3 linked regions of the Oreochromis niloticus genome follow. The protein of the gene in region 1 purifies or fractionates together with the protein of each later gene. This does not show direct contact. Links are inferred from orthologs where the notes say so. Each region holds a gene or a part of one and is shown in the gene's direction. Other genes may lie near its edges.

What was found.
Region 2: the proteins of ubxn6 (region 1) and nploc4 purify together in Homo sapiens (affinity purification with western blotting; 3 studies listed by BioGRID and IntAct, with this or other methods). This does not show direct contact. The link is inferred for Oreochromis niloticus from reciprocal best matches to the Homo sapiens genes UBXN6 and NPLOC4.
Region 3: the proteins of ubxn6 (region 1) and aspscr1 purify together in Homo sapiens (affinity purification with mass spectrometry; 4 studies listed by BioGRID and IntAct, counting the BioPlex papers as one, with this or other methods). This does not show direct contact. The link is inferred for Oreochromis niloticus from reciprocal best matches to the Homo sapiens genes UBXN6 and ASPSCR1.

The regions. Positions count from the first base shown.
Region 1 is NC_031986.2:39,718,194-39,726,213, forward strand, and holds the start of ubxn6 (UBX domain-containing protein 6), read left to right. Parts: upstream 1-4,456; 5' UTR 4,457-4,590; coding exon 4,591-4,673; intron 4,674-5,140; coding exon 5,141-5,298; intron 5,299-6,290; coding exon 6,291-6,355; intron 6,356-6,953; coding exon 6,954-7,082; intron 7,083-7,181; coding exon 7,182-7,279; intron 7,280-7,396; coding exon 7,397-7,472; intron 7,473-7,591; coding exon 7,592-7,676; intron 7,677-7,795; coding exon 7,796-8,015; intron 8,016-8,020. Other genes in the region: uap1 (UDP-N-acetylhexosamine pyrophosphorylase), read right to left, coding at 1,010-1,292. UniProt on the Homo sapiens protein: May negatively regulate the ATPase activity of VCP, an ATP-driven segregase that associates with different cofactors to control a wide variety of cellular processes.
Region 2 is NC_031973.2:3,598,137-3,606,165, reverse strand, and holds the start of nploc4 (nuclear protein localization protein 4 homolog), read left to right. Parts: upstream 1-4,811; 5' UTR 4,812-5,007; coding exon 5,008-5,022; intron 5,023-5,648; coding exon 5,649-5,729; intron 5,730-8,029. Other genes in the region: oocyte zinc finger protein XlCOF6.1, read right to left, coding at 557-1,728, 2,654-2,765. UniProt on the Homo sapiens protein: The ternary complex containing UFD1, VCP and NPLOC4 binds ubiquitinated proteins and is necessary for the export of misfolded proteins from the ER to the cytoplasm, where they are degraded by the proteasome.
Region 3 is NC_031971.2:32,711,300-32,719,316, reverse strand, and holds the start of aspscr1 (tether containing UBX domain for GLUT4), read left to right. Parts: upstream 1-4,555; 5' UTR 4,556-4,603; coding exon 4,604-4,693; intron 4,694-4,916; coding exon 4,917-4,972; intron 4,973-5,423; coding exon 5,424-5,538; intron 5,539-8,017. Other genes in the region: inactive palmitoleoyl-protein carboxylesterase notum1b, read right to left, coding at 574-935. UniProt on the Homo sapiens protein: Tethering protein that sequesters GLUT4-containing vesicles in the cytoplasm in the absence of insulin. Modulates the amount of GLUT4 that is available at the cell surface. Enhances VCP methylation catalyzed by VCPKMT.

The DNA.
Region 1 (8,020 bases):
TGGTACACAGTGCACAGTATCTAATCTCTGCAGACCTCTTATTGCCTGGTTAGTAGATGAATAATAATAAACTTAACAAAACAGTTCTGATAACATTAATCCAAGCAGTTTAGCAACATTTTATGACTGGTTCTGGAGTACTTGTGGACGTGACACATTATATGAGCGAAAATCTTACAACCCCACTCAAGATTTTACTATGGTTCAATGTACCAATAGTTTATAATGATTCCAGTTTGTCTTACATAAACTGCAGCAACGTGACACGATATGAAACTCGCTTCCTACTGGTTGGTGCCAGGAAGCAAGTTTTATGTAGTGGGTTAATCCATAAACTTTGACACATGCCCCACACCCAGCAACAGAGATTTGGTCCCAACAGATCACAATGAGCTCATGACTGAGGGTCAAGAGGGAACTCCAGTTACGTCAAGCACAAATCAACACCAGATGTTTCTGCTGCCCACTGAGATCGTCACACAGCCCCGGGAAGAATGAAGCATGAGGGATTGCGCAAAACATAATGAATAATGCCAGCAACTTACTCAAATGTCAACCCTTGCACAGAAACGCACAATGGATAAACATGGAGCTTCTGACGCAGCATGACTAGAACTTTGTAATAAGCTTTTGCAAAAGTTTTGATCTAATGGGCTGTTTTTCTGCGAGCTAACATCTGGATGTGGACACTTAAAAATATTGCCATGAGAACAACTATTCATCCAGCTGGGTTACCCATGTGATGTTTTAATCCACTTAAGCTTCCCAGTCTGATACCGGTTAAGCTTTCCTCTCTTACCTGCAGGTCATCACTGTTAAGATTTCATTGTGTTAAATGTGCTTGCAGTAACTAGGAGAATCTTGTTTAACAAGTGATAATAGCTTACATATTCTCATTAAAACTAAATACTCCCAATTCTAATGCTTTCTGTTTCCTTAAAGCACTCAGCATACCGAGTAAGTACAGTTTAAAGGTCAAAAGCAGTAAATAGGTGAGAATATACTTCACCTGTCAACTCCCAGTCTTTGACGCTCTCCCTGTCTCTCGTCACACTTCCCAGCACCTCCCTGGGCACCGGCTCCATGCGGCAGTCCATCTTCCCTTGTTTGCTGCTGTTGGATGTCTGCATGGCATTCTTGAAGAATCCGTTGATCTCCTGAAAGTCCATACCCTCCAGTTCTTGGGTCAACTCGGCCTGTTCTTCAGGGCTCAGCTCGTTCCAGAACTGCAGGAGGTGAGACTGGCCGGCGTCAGCCAGCTTCTGCCTGAGTGCGCTGATGTTTGGGTCCATGATCACCTGTGCTTTTAATTAACTGTGGGAAAAAAAGATTATGTTATTTAAAAAGAACTGCAAAAAATGCCCCAGGTCTCGTGTTGTTTTTGTATAAGCCGGTGGCCTTTATGTAAATATAAAAAAAGAGATGATAAGAGAAAGGTCACACTACAATATCCAAACATTTGCAGGGTTTTTCCCCACATATAGATCTGGCCTTCCGCAAGGACTTTATTAAAAATACTTGTAGCTTTTTTTAAACAGTGAGGTTTTATTCACCCTTAAATACATTTTTTGAAGTAAAATTGACAAAAAATTGCAGAAATAATCTGTTAGATAAGGTAACACAGACTCTTTCCAAAAAATTCATGTGGACCAGTCATATTTATTGGCACAGTTACCACTAAAAGCTCATTTTGAGCTCCCAAGAAACTGTATGTGTATATAAAAACAAATTTAGGATTAAAAAAAAAAACTGATGACATAGTCAATGTGCCTAAAGTGAAACATGATAAGAGTATCTTATAGCCCTGTGCTAGTTGTAGTGTTGGTAAAACAAGCACTGCTGGAATGCTTATCCTATTTGTTTGACTCCACACCCACATTTGACAGGAAGTCATCACAACACTAAAGGATAAGGTCGAGGACAGTTTCATGTTATACCACAGTGTGAATACTGACTCTTTTATACCCAATATGTTTGCTTATTATGATTGATAATTACAACAGTAAAATAATAGCTGTGTCACAACGCGATATTATGAACCCGCGATGTTTTCTAAGAGGGTTTACACCAAAGAAACCTCCTCTGTAAGTGAGCTTTCCAATGGGATGCTGACGACTAACACCACAGGCACACACCCTGAACTATCTACAGCTGTAATACACAATATTCATATATCACTTATAGTTAAAGTGTTCATACAACTTTTAAACTTCACGTCTCCAGCATGACCGCGACGTTGAGCCTGTAAAGAGGTAGCAGGGACTGCTGTGTTGACTCGGAGCACAGATAAATCCAGTGTTAGCACAGTGTAATAATACAGACTGTTGCTAAGAAGCGCGTAGATTTAGTGAACCACATTTTCAGTCACTGTATATGATAGTTAGCCGCGGTCTGCGCATCAGTCAAGCTACAGCCGGGCACATGTTAGCAAATATCCGCCCGACTGAGGAGCGGGAAACCGCTCGGCTCGCTGTACACATAGCAGATAGAAGTAAATCAAATATTTAACTCTTACCTCTCACAAAGACTCCTCTCCGGTGTAAGATCATTAATGCCAATCGATGACTACTCGCTCGCACTGGTCACTATACGCCTCCCTCCCGGAATACACCTCCTGCTACGTCACATTTGACGTGGCATCAGTGTGCGCGTGTGTATGTGTAGCCAAGTCAGAGATGCGTTCAAGTGCCACCTGTAAATTTAATCACTCTATGCTAGGAGTGTGGGGGAAAAAAGGCACGGGAGCCAGAATCTGTCAGGTGTTGTGCCAAAAACTGTTTTCTATCTATGTAATATATTTGCTTATATTGTTAAATAGACTGTAGTCAATAGGATTTCTGAAAAGGTTATATATAAAATAAAGACATGGCCTGTTTTGCAAGAACCTTTCTTGATTTTACCTATTTTATAATCACAGCACTCTATTTTGGCCACTTAAAATATCTTGAGATAACCATTTCTTGCCATTTCTGCTGCCCTCTTGGGCACATCTTTCTTGAAAAATACATTTTTGACGTCAATTTCCCTTTTTACCAGGATAAATGAAGGATATATACAAGTCCCCTTGCCAAAAACTGATCACAGCTTTTATTTTGTCTTGAAATCATGTTTGAGAAACATGTCTGAAATTTTCTTGTCAGATTATATTGCAACAAGTCATGTACAGCATTTTAAATATAGCTAATCGGTTTTTTTGCACCACACCAGCAAAGACTCTTATTACCTCTGGACAGCTTTGGAAAATGTGAAGCAAAATGAACGACTAACTGTATTTTTGTAAATTTTATTTATATAAATTTTATGGCTTCGCCTACTGAGCCCAAAGAGATATGTTGACAGTTTCTTTTAATTCTTTAATAAAGAGATGAAAATGCACTTCTTTTTCTGATATATCTGCATTTGCTGACATGTTTTGAATCATGCACGCTTTATGTCATACTACTTGTCATGATTTTTCACTATAAATATTGTATTCAAATCATGTAAAATGCAAAATATTTCTACTTGTTTTTAACAGTCTTTGATAGTCTTTAACAGCTTTATGAATGTAATCAAAGGTAAACCATCAGACAGGTAGAGACAGAGCAGTCAGCTTCAATGAACCAGCTAATGTACATATCTCCACTTGTGTGTGTGTGTGTTTATCTTCATTTTCTAACAATTAGCATATGAATTGTGTTTATCTGAAGAGAAAGCATGTATTACCCTTTAATTATTTCATGCACGTCCTAAAAAAAACTTACATTGAACCCCCCCCCCTACACACACACACACACACACACACACACACACACACACACACAAAAGATAGCTACAGAAATGAGATGGCAGCAGCCCTGCTGACCCCAAATCATTATTGTCTCTTATCATTAACAGAAATAAGAATAGCTTATTTCATACAGCTCTCAGCAGCAGCCTTGAGAGCTGTATGATCCAGCTGCTGAAACGTTGGCACAAAACCCGACTGTTGTTTGGTGACAGAGTCCATGGCTGACAACACAGCAGCTCCAAATAGGATCCTGTCAGGCTCCCAAATCCAGAATCCTCAGACACCTAAAGAGTTAGAGGGGGCTGCTCTGATAATGCCAGGTGTCAGACTGGATGATTATCAGCAGCACCCAGCTGATACTGTATACTCATTTCAGTTCAGTTCATTGACCTGAAAAAATAGCCACAATAGTCTGTTAATAGACTAGTTCTAAATCTAATTGTAAGATTAAAACACTTAATTTTAAAACGATAATCAACACAAACCAATTTCTGTGCTGACCTTTGAGCCAGTCAATACTAGGGTAATATGCACAAATTTCTGAGAACATGGAAGTACATGTAAACAAACAAAAGAAAAAAAAAAGGTCAATTATAAAAAAGTTGCCTTGTAAAACACGAACCACTGATCTGGAATGGTTGGACTTTCACTTCTGAGTTCAACCACGAGGGGGCGACCGTCTCTCCTGATGAGGCGGAAGCAGTTTGTTCTCATTTGAAACAATTTTGTTGTGGTCCTCCTCTTCCTCGCTAAAACCAGGCTGGGTGCTGCCCATCTGTTTGTTTTTCCCTGGTGGTCAGATTTTTGTGCGGCTACAGAAAATGAAGAAGTTTTTCGATGACATTAAGAAAGACATCAAATTTAAATCCGCGGGACCCGGGAAGAAACTAACGGAAGACACCAGGCAAATAACAAACTTTTCTTTTCTCAGCTGCTACAGCGCTAAGCAAAGCTAGCCGTACAGATAGCTATTTAACATCGGCTAAACGGGCTTATCTCATAGCTGACAGTTGGTCAGTAATGAGTACCGCTTTTCCGTCTCCCCATGTATTGAAGCTAACCACAACAGTGCTAATTTGTGTGTGTTTTTCTCACGGTTGTGCGTCAAACGGCTAACTGTTATATAATCTTGAGCACGGCGGGAGGCGACTGTATAATTTCAGGGTAACCTGACTAACAGTTAATCCCTGCACAAGCTTGTTTAGATAAAGGACTAAGCAAACCTGCTTCTCAACAGGAAGCAGAGCTGCTGTGATTCTGACGTATTTGTACTGTTGTCGTTGCTACTTAGCTTAGCACTGTCTTCTTCCTACTGTGAAGCCACAACACGTCTCCTCTTATAGTGCTGTTTCTCTCCTAATAACCCTACAGTGCCAAGCCTGAGGTGGTGCAGGGTAGATCCAGTAGCAAGCACGATCGGCATGCCCCCAGTGAAGGAGCCCAGAGGGCTGGAGCTGCAGCCTTGGCCAGGATTGAACAGCATCAGAAGCCGAAGGTTCACACCTCCCAGGACGCCATTAGGACCCAGGGTGAGACATGCAGCCCTGTTATTACACCAGGCGGTGTCTCAGTTCAAACACAGATGAACGTCAGCCTCCTTGTTTCAGTTGTGGGTATTAGGATAATTCAGTTGTGGGTATTTAAACATGTTTTAGACTCTGAAGCACTCTACAGATTATTACAGTTGATCTAGTTAAAAAAAGTCATATCTTCTAAATTTATTATCTGCTACTGTAATATATCCAGTACATCTATGAAAGAACAGACACCAGAAACATTTATTACCTCTGAAAAACCACATCATCAAAGAAGTCACCCATCCATTCATTTTCTGCTGTTTAACTGAGGCTGGGTAGTAAGGGCAGCAGCCTAAGCAGAGAAGCCCAGACTCTCCCCCCAGCCACTTCCTCCAGCTCATTTAGGGGGAACACAGGTGTTCCCAGGTCAGCTGAGAGATACAATCTTTTCAGCATGTCCTGCGTGTTACCTGGGGCCTTCTCCCAGTAGGACATGCCCAGAACACCTCACCTAGGAGGCGTACTAGTCAGATCCCCGAACAACCTCAGTTGTTTGGAGCAGCTCTACTCTGAGTCCCTCACAAATCAACTCCTCACCCTGTCTCTAAGGGAGAGGCCAGCTACCCTTCGGAGAAAACTACTGTCCAAGGTGTGCATCCACAGTGTCATTCTTTTAGTCATTACCCAGAACTTGTGACCACTGATCAGCTCTCTCTTCACCCTGCATCACTGCAGAAGTCTGTCAGTCTCTTGCTTCCTTCTCAGATATTTAAATTCTTCCACTTGAGGTAGCAAAACGTCCCTGAATCAAAGAAGTATTTATTTTTAAAAATCATTGTTTTTGTATTCATGGGAAAAAATGTGTCAAGTACATAATCTTTATGTTTATGTTAAGATGCTAAACCTGTGAAGTCCACGGAAAGTAGATATGATTAGATACTGTTTTACACTGATGAAGCAAATATATTCTGGTTATGACGGTTGTTTTCTACACGTGCTTGCAGTAAAAAGAGAACTCGAGGCCGAGGCAGCTGCACTTGCTGAAAAAGAAAAGGCAGCTGCAGCAGAGGTAAGTGTTGCATAAACCAGAATTGTGACACAATTTTCATGCTAATTTTGGTTCACATCGACTGTGCTTAACTTCATAAAATATTTCCATTTTTTCTTTCACTTTGAAGAAGACAGTATTCCTGATAAGCTGTTTTCACGGCTGATTAAAGTGAATATTCCTGTTTATACACAGCCTATCATACAGTGTCCAGTGTCAAAAAGGGCAGCATAGGTGCAGACAGCTGTTCATCTCAATGTCAGTTTCATAATATTGGAAAGTAGGTGACTTTCTCCAGCCAGACAGTGGGCTTTTGTTTTAGTCTTCCCTTATTTACCTTAAACCTGTTCAGTACTAAAATGTTTTTATCACAATCCTGGTGGTTTTCTTTAGTTGAAAAGCCAGAACTTTCTTTTTTTTATGGGCACCAATTTTTTTTTATATGCATAAAAAACCCTTTATGCTTGTCAGTGGTAGTGAGGCCTAATTGAGAATATGAGAAAAGGAGCCAGCTATTCATGTGAGCTGTATTAAATTCAGAGTAATAGCGGTGGCCTGTTGGTGTGGATGAAAATTTCATCACTGAATCTAACAACACTGAATGACATTTTCCTCCCAGGGCTCCAAAGTGCCAGTGAAAGATCCCACCCTTCTCTCAGTATCAGGTGTCTATTTCATCTGTCCACTAACTGGAGCCACATTAACCAAGAGCGAGAGGGAAGTACACATTAAAGAGGCCATTTTAATGGTATGTCTGAGGATGTTGGTTCAGTTATAACGTGTGTGCAGTCAGACTGAATGCTAATCTCGTTGGTGCTTTTGATAAACATGCCATTTTTGACTGCAGCGGTTTGAGGAAGATGAAGTCGAGGCGTCGGTTATGATGATGCACACATTTAACAAAGACAGAGAGAAAGTGAAGGCTGCGGTGGACATCATAAGCAAGTAAGACGCTGATGGTTATGTTAATTACATATGTAAATGTTTTATGCTGTTGTCACAGATTTTGAATATCTGTTCTAGACATCAAAGGTTTTTTTGTTGTCATTGTTTTGTTTCCAGATATGTTGAAAATATATGCAAGAACCCCACAGAAGAGAAATACAGGAAAATTAAACTCAACAACAAAGTGTTTCAGGTGTGTAACGTTCCTCGCCTACTGGATAAAGACTAATTATTTATAGCACACTTCATGGGATCTCTCTAAGAAAACAAGATAATTTTGCATGTCTTATAAGATTCCTTGTGTTATTTCAGGAGAAAGTAAAGTCTGTGGAGGGCAGCAGGGAGTTCCTGCAGGCTCTGGGCTTTACAAGTGTGATGCTTCCCATAGAGGGCCAAGGTAAATGAATAGTGATATTTATGAGCAGTATGTGTCTGCTCACCTGCCAGTGATTTTCATTTATGCATCATTCAGTCTTTACATCTTTTTAACGCGTGCCCACCTTTCATGGAGATCAGAGGAGGAAGAGGAGTTCCTGGTGTTGCCAGAGCAGAGCCCCGATGCCCTGGAGCTGATGAAGGAGAGGAGGGATCGTCTTCAGAGAGGCGAGCCGGTCAGAGCGCAGCTGGACAGACAGCCTCAAGCTTTCAGGCCGTCCCCTAACGCTCAACGCTTTGAGCTGCCGCCAGAGTTCTACAACCTTACAGCAGAGGAGCTCAAAAGGGAGCAACAGCAGAGGTACA
Region 2 (8,029 bases), on another chromosome or scaffold:
CTATAATTATTCATAGTTGGACCACTGCTCTAGCAGAAACATCAGAAGCAGTGATGAGCTCATTGATTGTTCCATGCAAAAGTTTTATGGCAATATTCATTTTAATGGAGAGAAACAGAATATCGACCAAAAATCCAGAAAAAAACAAAAACACGTTACATAAAATCTGTAAACTTGTCTGGATTCTGGATCCCATGACTGGAATCTGTGTCAACAAATCAACAAATCAATACATTACTGATAGTTCCGATCTCACCTTAAGCACAGCTATCCAAATAATTAATTTCTGCCATTACAACCTCTGGTCTGACCCAGGGCATTGGAAAGTATTATAGTATTAAAATATTAAAATACAATCTTATTTAGATATGACAAAACAAAGCTGGTATTTTTTTAATAGAAAGGTAGAAAAATATCTCACATTTCTCCTTTAAACATTATAAAAAGCTTTTACAAAAACATATTTCTTTCTCCAAATCAGGAAAAACTGATCGTTTGTTTTCCTGCGTGTCGCTTACCAACACAAACCACACAGTTAGTCTTCGTGCAGTTTTTGTTATATGTGGCCTTTCATGTGCTTCTTCAGATTTTCCTGTCGTGAAAATGTTTTACGACAGGCACTACAGGAAAAAGGTTTTTCTCCTGTGTGGACAACCATGTGTCTCCTAAGGTGTGTGTTTCTCTTATAACGTTTCCCACATTCATCACAAGCAAACGGTTTCTTTGTTTTGTCGCACACAACAGCGTGAGCATTCCTGCAAGCGGGTGCATGTCTCATAAGGTGTGCCCTTCGGTAAAATTTTTTATCACAAATATCACAATGAAATGGTTTCTCTCCCGTGTGGAGCACAGTGTGCCTCAGCAGACTTCCCTGTCGTGTGAATCTCACGCCACACTGACCACAGCCAAATGGTTTCACTTCTGCGTGCGCGCTCATGTGCACGGTCAGATCACCTTGACGTTTGAATCTTTTACCACAAGTGCTGCAACCAAATCGCTGTTCTTTAGTGTGAACTATCTTGTGTGCGTTCAGAATTGCCTGTTGGTAGAACTTTTTACCACAAAGACTGCAACTAAACGGTTTAACTCCCGTGTGAACTTTCACATGAGCTGTCAGACCACTCCGATTACGAAATCTTTTACTGCATTCATCACAACCAAATGGTTTCTCTCCTGTGTGAATTGTCATGTGGCTGTTAAGAGATTGCTTTTGCTTAAACTGTTTCCCACACTCAGAACAGCTAACTAGATTTTTACAATCAGGTGCCCTGGTGTGCTTCCAGCTATTGTCAGTACCATCAGTTTCAGTTCCAGAATCTGATAAAGTTGTCTGCCAGTCTTCATCTTCATCATTATCATCATCAGTACTGACTTCACTCTCAAAAGACTCAGAAGCCTTTGTAAGAGGTGAATGAATGTCTGAATCTGGGTTCTTGGCAGGCTGTGGTCCTCCACAGTCGTCTTCATCAGTTTCTGTTTTCATCTGTTTATCTGAGCTGCTGGGTGGAGGCTCTGCCTCGCTATTGTTGTTAGTTTTGCTTTGGTGAAGCTCTAAGAATTGAGGTTTTTCTTCTTCATCTTCGCTTTTTACAGAAATAAATGCCTTTCCCTCCTGACTGTCCCAGAGTTTTTCCTGTTCCTCCTTTATGCGGTGGTGCTCTGGGACCTTCTGCTCCACACTGGGACTCCATTCATGAGGCATCTCTTCTTTAATCAGCTGCTGGACATCTGCACGAATAAAACACAGTAAGCACATTTGTGCTCTCCATTCAGAGCTATTCTGTGTACATATATGTACACAGCCCTGTATTCTCTGTTTAACTGCTGAAGAAAGAGGGAAAAAATAGTCATCAAGGCAAACATTTCAGCTCAGCAGCCACATAAAGTGTGCAGCGTAATTGTGGTAGTGCAATACTAAAGATTTTGGTATGGCTCCGAGAACGAGTAAATACAGGGTCAGTATTGCCGATATTAATATCAATACTGATACTTGTAACACATAATGCAGCTTATTTAGGGGAGTGCAGTGTGTTGGATAGTACCATTGGTTAACATAATAAAACACAGCTTTTTTTTCTCCAAAATAATCAAGATGTGCCTGTCGCTAAAGCACTTTGGTTCAGCTAGTGTTGTTTAAATCTGCTATAGGCTATAAATAAAATTGAAAGATTTGCACCTCTTAGTGCATGTTTGAGCTATACTGAACATATAAGATAGAAACAAAGTATCAAGGCTATCACACTTTTATTGACCCAATACCAATATCAGCGTTGGTACACTCATACAGTACACACACACACACACACACACACCTGTAAATACTGGCACAAATCCATAAAGCGAATGTTGGTGCTTGATTTATAGTTTTTATATTTTACATTTGAGTTACGGAGCAGCTTATTCAGCCATTTCATCTTAAAGGTGGAAACGCTGTTTGTTCGGTGAGGTTGAACTGAGATCACCCTGCTGTGTGCGCGCCGTAAACCGTCCGGGTGCTGCGCTGCAGTTTCCGTTTTGGAACATTTGTGAACCGAGTCAGATTAACAGAGGACAGTAAGACTTGTTGCTGTGGAAATCTCAGCCACCCCTACAACAGGTTAGCATCACGCCAGCAGTTTGCTCCATAAAATCAAACATCCGTGATTTCTCTCACCTGCGCTTCGGTTTATTTCGTCCTGCAGCTTTAGGGCTCCGAGCAGTTGCATCTCCGGCTTTTCTTCAGGATTTTGATCGCTGTGCTGTCGAAGATCATCCGCTTCGTTCATGCCGACCGCTTTTTCTGCTCTTCTTTAGTACAAATTAGGCCGTTTCTCAGGGTGAAGTTTGGCATGTTTGTTGGTACTGAGCAATGCCCCAGTGGTTACCGTGCGTAATTGTAGCTCAGTCAGTTTTTGTGTTATCCTGCAACAAGGAACTGAAACTGTACAACAGAGGAAAATACCAAAAGTTGTCTTGTCAAAATAAATAAATACAAATAAAAACTGATATATTCACTTTAAAAAAAAAAATCCAGTTTTTCATAATCTTAATTAGATTATTTTTTGAAAAGTCCGGCAACACTTTTCATTAAAAGAGAAAAGGAAAAGCTCTTTATTCTGAATTAACACTGTAAAAGAGCTTCTAGACTTGAAAGATTGATTTCATTATGTGTATTCACATTTCTCTTTGTGTTGGGGAGATGAGCCGATGAACATCCTGCTTTTATTAAGAATGAAGTTCAGCTACTTTCGGCTGCTCGCCCACAGCTGCTCGCTCCGCATGTTTGATTTCTCTGATTTTTATGCCAGATGCTGTGAAGCAACCGCCCCCAAGGGAATGGTGTCTCATAATTTATAATCCTAAAGGCTGCCACAACAGCATCAATGAAACCAAATTATTGCACACATTAGATTAATTTTGATCGTTTTGTTACAACTCACAATCTTCATCCATAAAGCACATTCCAGAATCAAAAACATAACAAGCAGAATTTATAACAACAGTGTGACATTCATAAGTGTAACAAATTGTTCCTCTACACGTGGCTGAGCTATGAGGTCTGCTGACAGAGCATAAGCCACAAGGTTCCTCAGATAAATGAGTTCCTCATCAGTCTTGTAGGGATTTAGTGATAACACCTGTTCTCTCATTCTAAGCTGTTTCTGTCTTTTCTGTGGCCTCACAAATATTCTGCATATGCAAAGTACATAATGTCACGCAGGTACTGTGGTTTGTTGATGTTCCCTTGATGTTGAGGGAACATCTAAGACCTATATGTGTCACTTTAACTTCATAATGAAGACATCCACATTTAAACAGGGGGTAGGTACTTAAAACAAGCCAAAACAATAATAAATGAACAGCGTGTAAAACTACGGGTATTGTTATAATGGGAACTTTTTTGGATTTAGATTATAGACAATACATGTCAAATACGAGGCTCAGTGCCAGGAATCATCAAATTAATTAAAAACACATTGATTTTTTAAAAATTAATTTATTTGAATAAATGCTGTTTCTTCTGTAGTGATGGTCTGGAAAGTTTAAAACATTTTCATATCTAGATAAGTGTATCACATTTAAAATACAGCTGTTTTACATACATGAATGAGAGAGATTTGGTATCATAAATTATTATACCCAAATACAGCTAGTGTGAGGAAGTGTAAGAGTGACCACAATGATGGTTTAAAATGTACAAAACGCTGCAGAAAGTACAGTAAGTAACATAAAATCACCCTCCTTTGAACCTACAAATAAAAAAATAACTATAAGTAACTGTTTGAGACATAAAACAGCAAAACCTAAGCAGAATATAAATTGACTGATTACTGACTACTCAGTCCATCACATCTCCTTTAAATGCTTAATTACATTCCTGTCCCTTTAAACACTGTACAAAAGTTTTAAAAGCCAGAAATTCCATATTTTCATACCATAGTGTTATAGAGTTTAGGGTTTGGGCTACTTTTCATCATCATAGACCAGACGGTAGTTTTATCCATCCCACATGTTAAAACAATGCCTCATATTTTATGATAGTGATTTTTTTATGAAAAATGTTAGTTATTGTTAAGAATTCAGAAAGCAGAATAAAATTAAGATAATGTTGTGCACTTACAAGGAGGGCTCAACAATGCTGTAGTGAGCCTCTGAACATCTCTGAAAATGTTCAGTGTGAAAGGAATATTTTGTATCCCATCTTTCAGCATATTTAATACTAAAAAGGATCTGACTCGGGGGGGCTCAGGTGGGAGGCAGTAACTGACGGGAGAAAAAGAAAGAATGATAAAAGTGGAACCCTTGTTTCTAGCTTAGTTTCTTTGTTTCGACCGTGGTCGCTCCGCTGTGGGATCGATGGGGGCGCTAATGTGTGCAACACCCGGTGTTTGAGTTGCGGGATGGAGTTTCGCTGACATACACACACACACACACATATACATACACAGCAGCGCTACGGGGTATTTGTTTTGACCCTGTCTGTCCACTAACAAAGCCAAATCTACCGGGCGCACCTACCCGAGCAGCATGGCCGATAATATTGTAAGTACAGCGGAGGATGGGCTCCGGCTAACGTTAGCTAGCCTGTTAGCTGGACTCCTGAATGATGAGGCAGCAGAATTAGCTTGGCTAGCATTAGCCAGCTAACATGAGCTAAGAGTGACCAGGGCCTGTTTAGCTAGCCGGCTAATATGATAGCTAGTAGGCTAGCTGACGACATCCGAATGAAAAGAGTCATTGTTGGCTAACGGGAGAGCGACAATAACGGCCGGCTTAAAATGACTGGCATATTCTTTCATCTCTTTAGCATGACAGTAACACGAATAGCTCGGTAACGATGGGAGCTGTGATGTTGCACATTCACCACGAAAGTGATATTTAGTTAGTCTGTGAATGAGCCAGTACACACTGACAGCTTTCCAGAGTAGTTCAATGTCAACATCGTCATGTTGCAGCTAAAAACTAGAGGTTGATGAGCTGACGTTAACCCGACTTTTCTTTCTGCACTGTCACGGTTGTCATAATACCCCGACACTGACACCGGAGGGGGGCGGAAAGGGGGGGGGGCTGCGTCCTGGTTTTGACTGACAGGTGTTTGAAATGCTACAATGGATTCGGGCTTGTACTGTAACGACTGAATTGTGGGTTTATTTCTGTCTCTCCTTTAGATCATCAGGGTGCAGTCCCCAGAAGGGATGAAAAAAATTCCTTCTACAAAGAGGGAGACAGCTGCTGCTTTTTTAAAGAAGGTAATGTGTTAAATATAACAGCACTCAAGCATCTTGTTTTCTTCTCTACTCTAAGGGCTGGTTTCCAGCCTCAGGATTTATCAGTTTGGCCTGGCACTCCAGTATAAGGGGGTCAGTTCAGCCTTTAAATGAAGGTGGTGGCTGACTTCTGAACAATGCAGGATTTTAATTAGTCATGGCTGCTGCTGTCCTCTTCCCTAAGCCTCCCCTTCTGCCTTTTTATAAGAATCCCTGCTGACAAACTCACCGAATAGCTAAGAAAACAGTTTAGTTAAAGACTTCTAAACACATTATAGTTTTAATTCAACTGTAGATAGTATGCTTTATTTGATGTTTGCATAAGATAATGGCAGTAATCTGTGAATAGTTGTCCAGCAGTTACAAACACAATAACATCTAAGCCTGGGCCATCATATTCTGTTCTGCTTATGACCTCCTTGGGTTTCCGAAGGCATGGGAGAAGATGAGGGAGAGTGAGCTCAAAACAGTTTTTTCAGATGTAAAGGAGGGGAAACAGGTATTTTCTGTAGCTTGTGTTTCCATAAACTGCCAAGCATCAGCACTCCTTCACCTCAAGGCTTTGTCAGCTCATCGTCATTATTTATTTTATGGAAGTAGTAACACCGTGTCCTCATACAGTTGAAAAGTCACAAAATTCGGAGTACCATCCTAATCTGCACGCCCTCCCTCACTTCATCTCCAGTTCACAAAGATTACCCATGTTTGCTGCCTTCAGGGTACAGTGGTGCCACATTGTTTTAAATTGCTATGCATTGTAAAATTAAGCAAGAATAATAGGCATAAAATAAAATGGTCACAGTTTTCTGGCTGGAAGAATGAAAGGCTATCTTAAACCCCTAAAAGACTTTGATCCAATTGAAATCTGGGAAAAAACAACTTTTTGTTTTGACCTTTTGGTGATACCCTGTTTCAAAAGCGGAGATTATCTGCTCTCTCATTGGTTATTAGACCCATCACATGCAGTTACTTGTGGCCAAAACAGCAGGATTGTTGCTCTTGATGCTTCAAAACAGGTCTTTTTAAACCAAAGGGTGATGATATGTTAGTCATGTTAATACTGTCAATCATAAGGATGTACTGATATATGATCCAAATATAGTCATTAGCTGATATTGGCATATCAGCAAGTAAGATGGCATTTATCCACATCAGTAGCTGATATTTATCTGTTGTGTCACATCAGTCGTGTGCTGGCAAAAAAGCAAAGAATTTCCCACTCTCTGCTTTCCTCCACACCAGAACTGGATCCAAGCCTTCTGTACTTTATTTCCACAGTACACTGAAAACCTGTGCAGGCCTCTTATGTTTTTTTCACAAAGAAAACTGATTAGAAAATGTTTTATCTTTAAATCAGTACAGGAGTGTTATGTGTTGTTGTGGGCTTTGTTTTGTTTTTTTTCCTCTTCTTGTGCCTGTACATACATGAAGCTGTGTAGGAAGTAACAGAGCAGGTCGGTCCTTTGTGGACTGCACAAGGAAATATGTGTTCAGGGAGTGTGTTAGATGTTTTAGAGTCCAGGCATTGCTTCATATCACAGAAGGCACAGATAAAAGTGTGTAATCTGATTTTTTATAGGACTTGAATTTTACTGAAGGCCTGTTAATAATTTAATCCACTTCCCCAAATCTACTGCATAAAATACAGGAAATTCTTGCACCCATTTACAGCTGTCTGGTAATGTTGAACCCAACATTTGCACCAGTGCTGAATCACTGCTGAGCTGGACTCACATCAGATTTGGACAACTCCTAATCTGATGTCAGTCCAACTCTGCAGAACTGTGAACGCCCTTTGGTGTTTCAAGAAGTTTGGCTGACACAAACAGGCTTCAGAGATGTGAATTTGAAAACCTGCAAACATGAACTGTAAGTTAAAAATTTAAATCTAAAGACCTTCTTTACCAAAAAGGACAGAAGCCGGTGAAATGACAATAAAAAATGAAGTGATCTGCTTGATTTGTAAAATATCAGGTGTTCAGGTGAGAAGTATCAGCAAAACAAAGATAGAAAGTTTTAGCAAATTGACAACAAACATGGTAAAATACAATGTAAGTAAGTAAGAATAAGAGACAGTAAGAATAAGGCACCGTAACACCTATAGTAAAGCTGACAAATGGTATTCCTCCCAAGTTATACAAGCCTCACTTAGCAAAGTACTTAAGAGCCACTTTCCCCTCTGTTTCTGGGGAAATTTTCTCTGTTATGCTTCAATTTTACACATGAGGATGGGAAATAATTACATTTGCATTTTAATCACTGACTATGAAAAGCCTAAAATA
Region 3 (8,017 bases), on another chromosome or scaffold:
CTTGATGCGGGTGGTATATCGAAAGATTCATCTCATTCACAGCGATTTAATTCATATTTTGCCCACAATATATTCTAATTTACACCTGGAACAGAGTTTAAAAACTTTGACAATGAGTGGAATTAACTGGTGATTCGCACAGGTGGGAAACTGATTATTTTATTTCGTCCAGTGTGGAAAACCCTACATTTGAAATGCCATAAATCTTTGAACTATCATTAGTTATAATCTTTGTTGTCATTACTCTTAATTTTGCTTTATCGTAAAGTCGCCAGAACAAGGATAAATGCCCCTCTCTCGTCCTCGCTCGCGCCCTCCCTCTCGTGTACGCGCTAATTTGCAGCGTGCATGGCGCTCTCTCTGATCTGATCCTTTGATCCATTTTGGTCACATCCGGAGTGACACGGGAATGGAGCACACGGAACTAAACTAGTAGTAAAACGCAGATCGGATGGTGGGTGTATCTACCCCTCCGTGTCTCAGATTCTTACCAATTAATGACAAAACTGTGGTTTTAAATCACGCCTGAAGGTCATTAAGAAACTATGAAGAATCTGCAGGCCATTCACTTACCCTGCAGGTGACCCGTCGTTGCAAGTCACAGACACGTTCTTCAAAAAGTGCAGCTTCATGTCCTGATCCAGCTTTTGCGCAGAGCACGGATAGAGTGACTGCGCTAAGTTCTTTATCTGCACTACAAAGTTGTCCATGTTGCCCTCCACAGCTGTGAAGTCTAACGGGAAGCTTTCTGCTCCTTCCACCCGCTCCCTGTACGGCGGGGGCGTCTGCTGCTGCTGCACCCTCCGTGTTTGCGCCCGACCGCCGCGCACTCTCCTCGCCTCCACCGGTGCGCTCAGGTGGATGAAGAGCAGCAGCAAGCAGGAGCGCACCGCGGACAGTCCAAATGAGTTTCTCGCCACACCACGGCTCTGCATTTCTAATTATTTCTGGAGAACGTTCCTCGCGTGTGTGCGTGGGCTCTGAAGAAAACACAGCATATCCTATGAGTGGGTAGATCGACAGGAAGTTCTTCGAAAGCGCACGGAGTCTTCAAACAAACGATCTCCTATACCAGCAGTACTGGGTAAAAACAGCTTATGGGTCTCCATGGTGCCCTGAGAGATGGGTATCTGGATTCAAACTCATGCAAAATGCGCGTGCAGTTCCAGTTCATTTCCTTAAATCGCGCGCAGTTCGTCCAGTAAACGGGTTCTTCCGTGCGTAAAAATATCTGAAGTTTCGTCCAGCTCAGTCTCACCAGTGACCTGTTGCCTTTTGGTTCAGGTCTTATAAGCTGCGGATGAAGCGGGAATTTATTTGAGGTCCTCCCCCTCCTCCCCCCGTCCCCCCTGCCTGCCCCCGTGCTTCTCACTCCCGCGGGCCAATCGTTATTATCGTTGGCGGATGCTCTTTGCGGGGCGTGGGGCTCACACCAAGAGCGCGCGTATGCCTGGCACGCCCCCTCAGTCGGTTCACTCATACCCCCGGCCCCTTTGATGTTGTGTCATCATATGACCGCGCTGCCTTTGAAGTGTCTTTGATTGAACATGGTGTGTGAGTAAAAAACGCAGTTGGACACGCCGTTCCGCTGCAGAAGGTCACGCCACTGATGCACATGTTTTGCGGCTTTTTATGCGCTTCAGAATTAAACTGCATTTTCTTTGTGTTTGTTGCTCAAGATAGATAATCAGATAATCTTTTGGGCTATTTCACAACAGAAGATAAGGTCGCTGGAAGTTTTTAAATCATGAGTGTGGTATGTGTAGACACAGCGATAGGGCGAACACACTAAGTCACACTAAAGCATAAATCAACACTTATTACTGACACGTAAAATATTTAAGCTATGCTTGCGGGATGTGAGTTTAAGATTATTGTGTGACAGTTATTAACTCTGTTGCAACTGTTGACTGTATTGAAGACCTTTGACTCATCCTTATTGTAAATGTGAGCCAGCGCTTCATCTGCTCCACTTTTTACTTTTCCTTTACAACCATTTTTTCCAAAACTGACTTCTTATTGTGTCGTTAAACCTCACAGATACATGAACAGAATCCCAAAGCAGTTTGAGAACTGGCACTGGCTGGCCTGGTTGGAGAACTCATCAGTGGTGTCAATGTCATTTTATATGTGACCAATTTAATTTCAAGTGTGCTGGGTCAATAAAAACATTGTATGATTCCCCATTAAGACAATCTTTGTCAGTATGAAGTGGTTTGTGTGTTCTTCTGTCGGAGATCTTGTTTTCCAGCCACTGGAAAAATAGAATAGAATAATTCTGCACATCTAGGTTCAAGAGAAAAGAGATTCTTAATCCCTGAAAGCTTCTTTTTCTAAGAAGATGGTGAAACTTGGATAAAATGAATCATTCGTACAGCCACTGCAATCATGTGATTCATTTTAACCACTTAAAACAGAGGTTAACTCCTGGTGAAGTGAAAGGTTCTCTGAGATTTTCACATCTTGTTAAGCCATCCAGGAGGCCAGACTGGACCTATGGGTGGGACACATGTAGCCCATGAGCCATATGTTTAACACCAGAAAGCTATTTTTGCCCATATTGTTTCTTTTACATCTGCTCATCTTTAAACGTCCCCATTCATTCACCAGATCCACCGTCCTCTGATGTCTAACATTCACACACTGCCTGTAATTTGATTTCGATCTTTGATGGGGTTTTTTATGATGAAAGGAACACTTAAAAAAGGTCTCTCAGCATGTAAAACCCACTGCAGATGCCTTTATAAGTTTGCGCTCTATCCAGACAGTTTTGAAGTTTCAGTCCTGCTGAGCGAGGAAGGAAACTGATTGTTTGTTTGTTTGTTCAGATGGTGGCAATTTCCCACTAGGACTGAGAAGTGCATTCATTTCTGTCTGTCTGTCTCTCTTTCCCAGGTGGACTTTGTCTTTAAATGTTGCTCTTGAAGCAGTCAGTCAATCAGTCAGTTGTTCGGCCTCTTAAGCTCTGGCCTCACACCTCTCCATCTGTTGGCACCACTTGTCATGTTGTTTGTCTCGTCTTATTCCAGCTTTGATCCAATTTGATCCATGCTGAGAAAAAACAGCCTTGATTGTTGTTGCTCAAACTGCATACATACAGTACATTAGGTTTTCCATATGGAGAGCAGATTGACTGTGTGTGACTGTGTTGTGGTCAGTTTACAGACAGGATCAATTTCCTTCTCTCATGAGGCCAGATTGTGTTTTCTTATTATGCTTTTAAGGTCAAGGGAAGAGTAATGATCTTCATATTGTTTTTAGATGCACACTGTACAATACAAGCTGCGGAGGGTTTTTTTTTTCACAGAATGAATAGATAGATTTTTTTTTACATTGACTCTGATGTTGTTAATCCACTCAAATTATTTTTTCTAACACACAAACGGATGTGTAGAAAAGACCTTTCCAAACTTAAGTCTCCCCTTCCACCTAGGTTAATGTAGTGACTGTAAATTCCATGTAATTCACATCATGTTTATAATTCATAAATAATTCAGTTAGCTGGATTTAGACAGACTAGTCAATAACCCTAACCCCTTTGGTTTATTCTGACAAAAGGGAAAGTAAGAGTTGGCATTAATATGATTAATGAGGTCTTATTTCTATGTAAGTGCTCCAGTAAGTTGTTAAGTAAGCCAGTATACACGGTACATAACATGGGATCCAATAATAAAAAAATACAAATTACAATTGTATGCATCTGTTAAATCAGAAATTTAACACTAGATTACACTAGTTTCAAGTAGACAAAAATTATTTCCCCCTGGGAATACAAAATATAGACCTTATAATATCACACTGTCCCAATGGAGCAGTTCAATCTCTAAAAGCAGAGTTGGAGGCAAATCCTTCAGGTATCAGGTTAGCTCCCAGTTTAGGTTCAGGAAACAGACACCCTCCCTACTTTTAGATTCGGCTTCAAACTTTCCTTTTTGATAAAGCTTAGCGTTTGGGATGGATCAGATGAGTCTAAAGCATCTTAGTTATTCTTTTATAGGTTCAGGCTGCTGGGACACTTCCCAAAAATGAGTAGACCATTTCTTCTCTAGTCCACTCTTTTCACTCCTGATGCATTTACATGGCACTATCGCATGGCATTAAATTGTGTCTACCCTCTCCCATAGCATGTGTTGTGTTTCTGTCTCTCTGTGCTCTTTTTGAGACAATGGTTGTTTGAATTGGCACCGTATGAATAAACCCAAACCGAACTGAATTTGGTGTTATAATATTTCACTGTAACGTTTTTTAAAATAAAAGACAATAAACTACTAGCCAGTCTAAACTACAGTAAGGCTTAGTATATGAATAGATAGTACAAGTTGTGTTCTTAGTATTTTATTTCATGTTGTAGCACTTTAAGAGACAAGCAGATGTCTCTTAAGTGCTATTTGACTATTGCAGTGGGACGCTAAAACATTGTGGGGGTTATTTCTTCTTAATTTTTTAAATGTTTGTATAATTAACATTATTTTGTTTGGATAATAACGCTCATAAAGGTGAGACGAAGAAAATCTTAAAAGTTGAACGAACTGCACCTTTAAGTGATGCCGCGACAGAGTCAATAAAGCTTATTCAAACAAACATTGTGACGTCAGGACACGCAATGGCTGCTAGTGGCACAGCTGTAACGGTTCTCACTCCCAATGGGAGAAGGCAAACAGTTAAAGTGGCTCCAAACACGCCGTTACTGCAGGTGAACTGTTATAGAGGAGCGTTTCATCTTTACTTAGGTGGACGGCTTATTGAATTCTGCGCTTTGGTTATAGAACCGGACTAAATTCCTTCCCTCCGAGTTAGCTTGCTGGGCTAACAGTTGTTAGCCAGTGACTGATCAGTTTGTGTTTTCGTGCGGATGAAATCAGATTATTTGGGAGATTTTGTGGCATAACTCGTGTTGTAATATTTTCCGCCTTCAGGTGCTGGAGGAAGTCTGCAAGAAGCACGGATTTAACCCAGAAGATCACGGTTTGAAGTGAGCAAATGAACGTAGCTGTATATCAGTTTTTGTCCCTTCAGATTAAAAGCCTTTCACCTGGATTACATCCAAATACACTTTAATACATAAACAATCGCACTGGACAGTAGCGGAATAGTAATATGTGAAATATCCGTTTATTTATATAGTTAAAGAAGTTAAGCAAGTTAAATGTTGTAAGCGATTTTCACATCTTGTACAACTCTGTTTTGGTTTCAGATCGTGTTTACTTATATTTTAAAAATCGGTGTCACTGCAGGAAAAAAAGAAACAAGACAAATTATGTGTCAAAAAATGAAATCAAATTGAAATTTGATAACTGTTTGTAACTGTTTGTACTGTCCTCAGGCTCATACATCATTCTTCACAGCTGTCCAGCTACTCCACATGAAACATTTAGTCTGATTTAATTGCTCTCTTTCTTCTCCACTGTGAAAATTTTTGGCAGGTTTCAGAGGACTATTGTTGACCTGACGCGGCCATGGAGGTTTGCAAACCTGCCCAACAACGCCAAACTGGAAATGGTGACGAGTACGAGGAAACAAGTTATAGCTGACAGCCAGGTCAGTTCAAACAAAGTGCAACTTGGGGCTCAACGTTTAGTCAGATTTTAATCTCCGTTATGATTTTGCTCTCAAATTGTTGAGAAAACAAAATAATCTTGACCATCTTCTTTGCACAGCTTTCATTTAGAGTGGTGTGTTTTTACTCTCCCTAAAAGTTCAGCTTTTAGTTTAACCCCAACCAGGGTGTCTATAATTCAGCTTTTGGCTACAAAGATCTAATCAAGGAAGTAAATCGTTGAAGGTTTCTTATGGTGAACATGTGAAAGAATATCACTTAATTGGAGCTACCCCAAAGAAGAGTTTGTGTCTACTCCTGACCTCAAACTAGGAATCTTTCGTAGTTGAAGAAAATGCCCAGAAAAAGACACTTTTTAAACTCCAGTATCTACGCAGTGTCTCTTAATCTAGTGAATAATGTGCATATTTTAGAATATTGACCAAATTTATCATGATTACGACTTTTCCTATAAGCAAGCAGCCTTGGTGCATCTATGTATATGTGGGTGTTAGAGAGAGTCAGAAAGGAAGAAAAGTCTCCAAAACCAGTGTTTGGAGACTTTCCTAGCTACGCCATTTTTTATTTTATGTTTTTTCAGATTCATGGTGTGCATGAATCAGAAAAAATGTGGAAACAATTCTTTTTACCTCAAGTCTGATTGCAACACAAAACATGCTCTTAATAAAAAATTATTAAACAAGAGCTCATTTCCAGGATCAGCATTGCCAGAGTCCTTTTTATAGAAGTACCACAACTCGGTATCCTTTTTGAAATGCCTCCAGTCATTTATGTGGGCAGTTATTTGAAACACCAGAGTGAAAAAATATCTGCTTAACTTATTTTAAGTGACTTTGTCTCAGTGAAACTTTGCCAGCCTTTTTAGCCTTGAGTGGCCAAGGTAAACATGTTCAGAACATACTTCTTTACCAGGGTTTTTCCTGTATATGGTAAATGGTAAATGGCCTGTATTTATATAGCGCTTTTTCTGGTCCCTAAGGACCCCAAAGCGCTTTACATATCCAGTCATTCACCCATTCACGCACACATTCACACACAGAAGTGTTTGTGCCCAGCAAAGAGATTTTAGCCTTCCATTAGAGAAAGCTCACCAGGACTTTGATTTTTGACATGTTTTATGTAAGTGGGGTTTAATTAAGTTAAGCTTGAATGGCGCGTTTGTTTTTTAAATAACAGGCGAATGCGTAGACTTCTGTTAAGAAAGGTCACATAGGCTATTTGCCTGGCGTGCATGTTGTTCAATAAATAAAATTAATTTGAGTCCCCTTAGGGCTATTTGTCCCACTCATGATCATGTTTGAATAGCCTTAAGTAGCTTCATGTGTGGGTCAGTCAGCCCCGTGTGTGGGTTTCTTTATTGTCCGTACCTGGAAATGCCTGAATTCTCTGTCACTGCTCTCTCTCTGATTCCTATCCAACAAAACACTTTGTTGTAGCTGAGCTGTAGTTTCCTATGACATCATGGCATCATAATCCATGCTGTAAAATTCACGGCTGGGTTTGATCTGCTGTTTTTGTTCATTTGATGGATGGTTGACTGTTGATACCTGGCAGATTTTATACAGACGCACACACGCAGGCACCTCTGGGGCAGACTGGTTTGTGGGAGTGTTTCGTGTTTGACCGTTGACAGCCAAAGCCCTCGTTTCATCTCTCCCGGTGTGCTGACATGCAGCGTGCTTTCTGTGCCGAACAACACCGTTGCAGAGTAAACAACTCGCAGAGTGACTCAGAGAAAGAGCAACAGAGACTTGCACTCATGTCTGATGTTACTTATTTTCAGGCTGAGGTAGGCCCACATGTGCAGCTTAATCATCTTTGATTATCAAAGAATTTTCTTCCTGGTAAATGTATCAAGACTGATGAGCCAAGAACTTACAAATGACCACCGTGGGGGATTTTCAAAATCAATTCCTTTTCGGCATTTAAGGAGATGTTTGTGAGTCCAACAGCGTGAAGTGCTTGTACTGTAGATTTTATTACTTTTAGCTTCTGTCAAAAGAAAAAAAAATGTAAATAATTTAAAGAAAATCTTACTGTGATAATTATGTGTTTAAAGGGGCCTCATTGTGCTTATTTCCTCCTCCTTAGTTTTATTCTTGGACTGTTAGAGTAGCTATGCATGATGGACAGTCCAAAATAATCCTTATTTATCTTAACCTGGGGCTGGATGCAGGCTCTGTTCATCCTCCATCCAAAACGAGCTGTTATAGGTGTTTAAAGCCAACTTTCTTCTGATTGGCTGCTGCCTGGAAACACAAGATCTAAACTGCAGTTAGCTGTGACTGCTGTGCTTGAGGATGTCCACTTTCACTGACATCATGCAGATCCTAATGTAGGAAAAACCTGGTGAAACTGAGCATTTAGAGCAGTTTGAATCCTGTGCTCTGGGCTCACATCCATTACTTATATATATGCTAAACTACTTATTTTAATCTTCGGTTATGTTTAACATGTTCA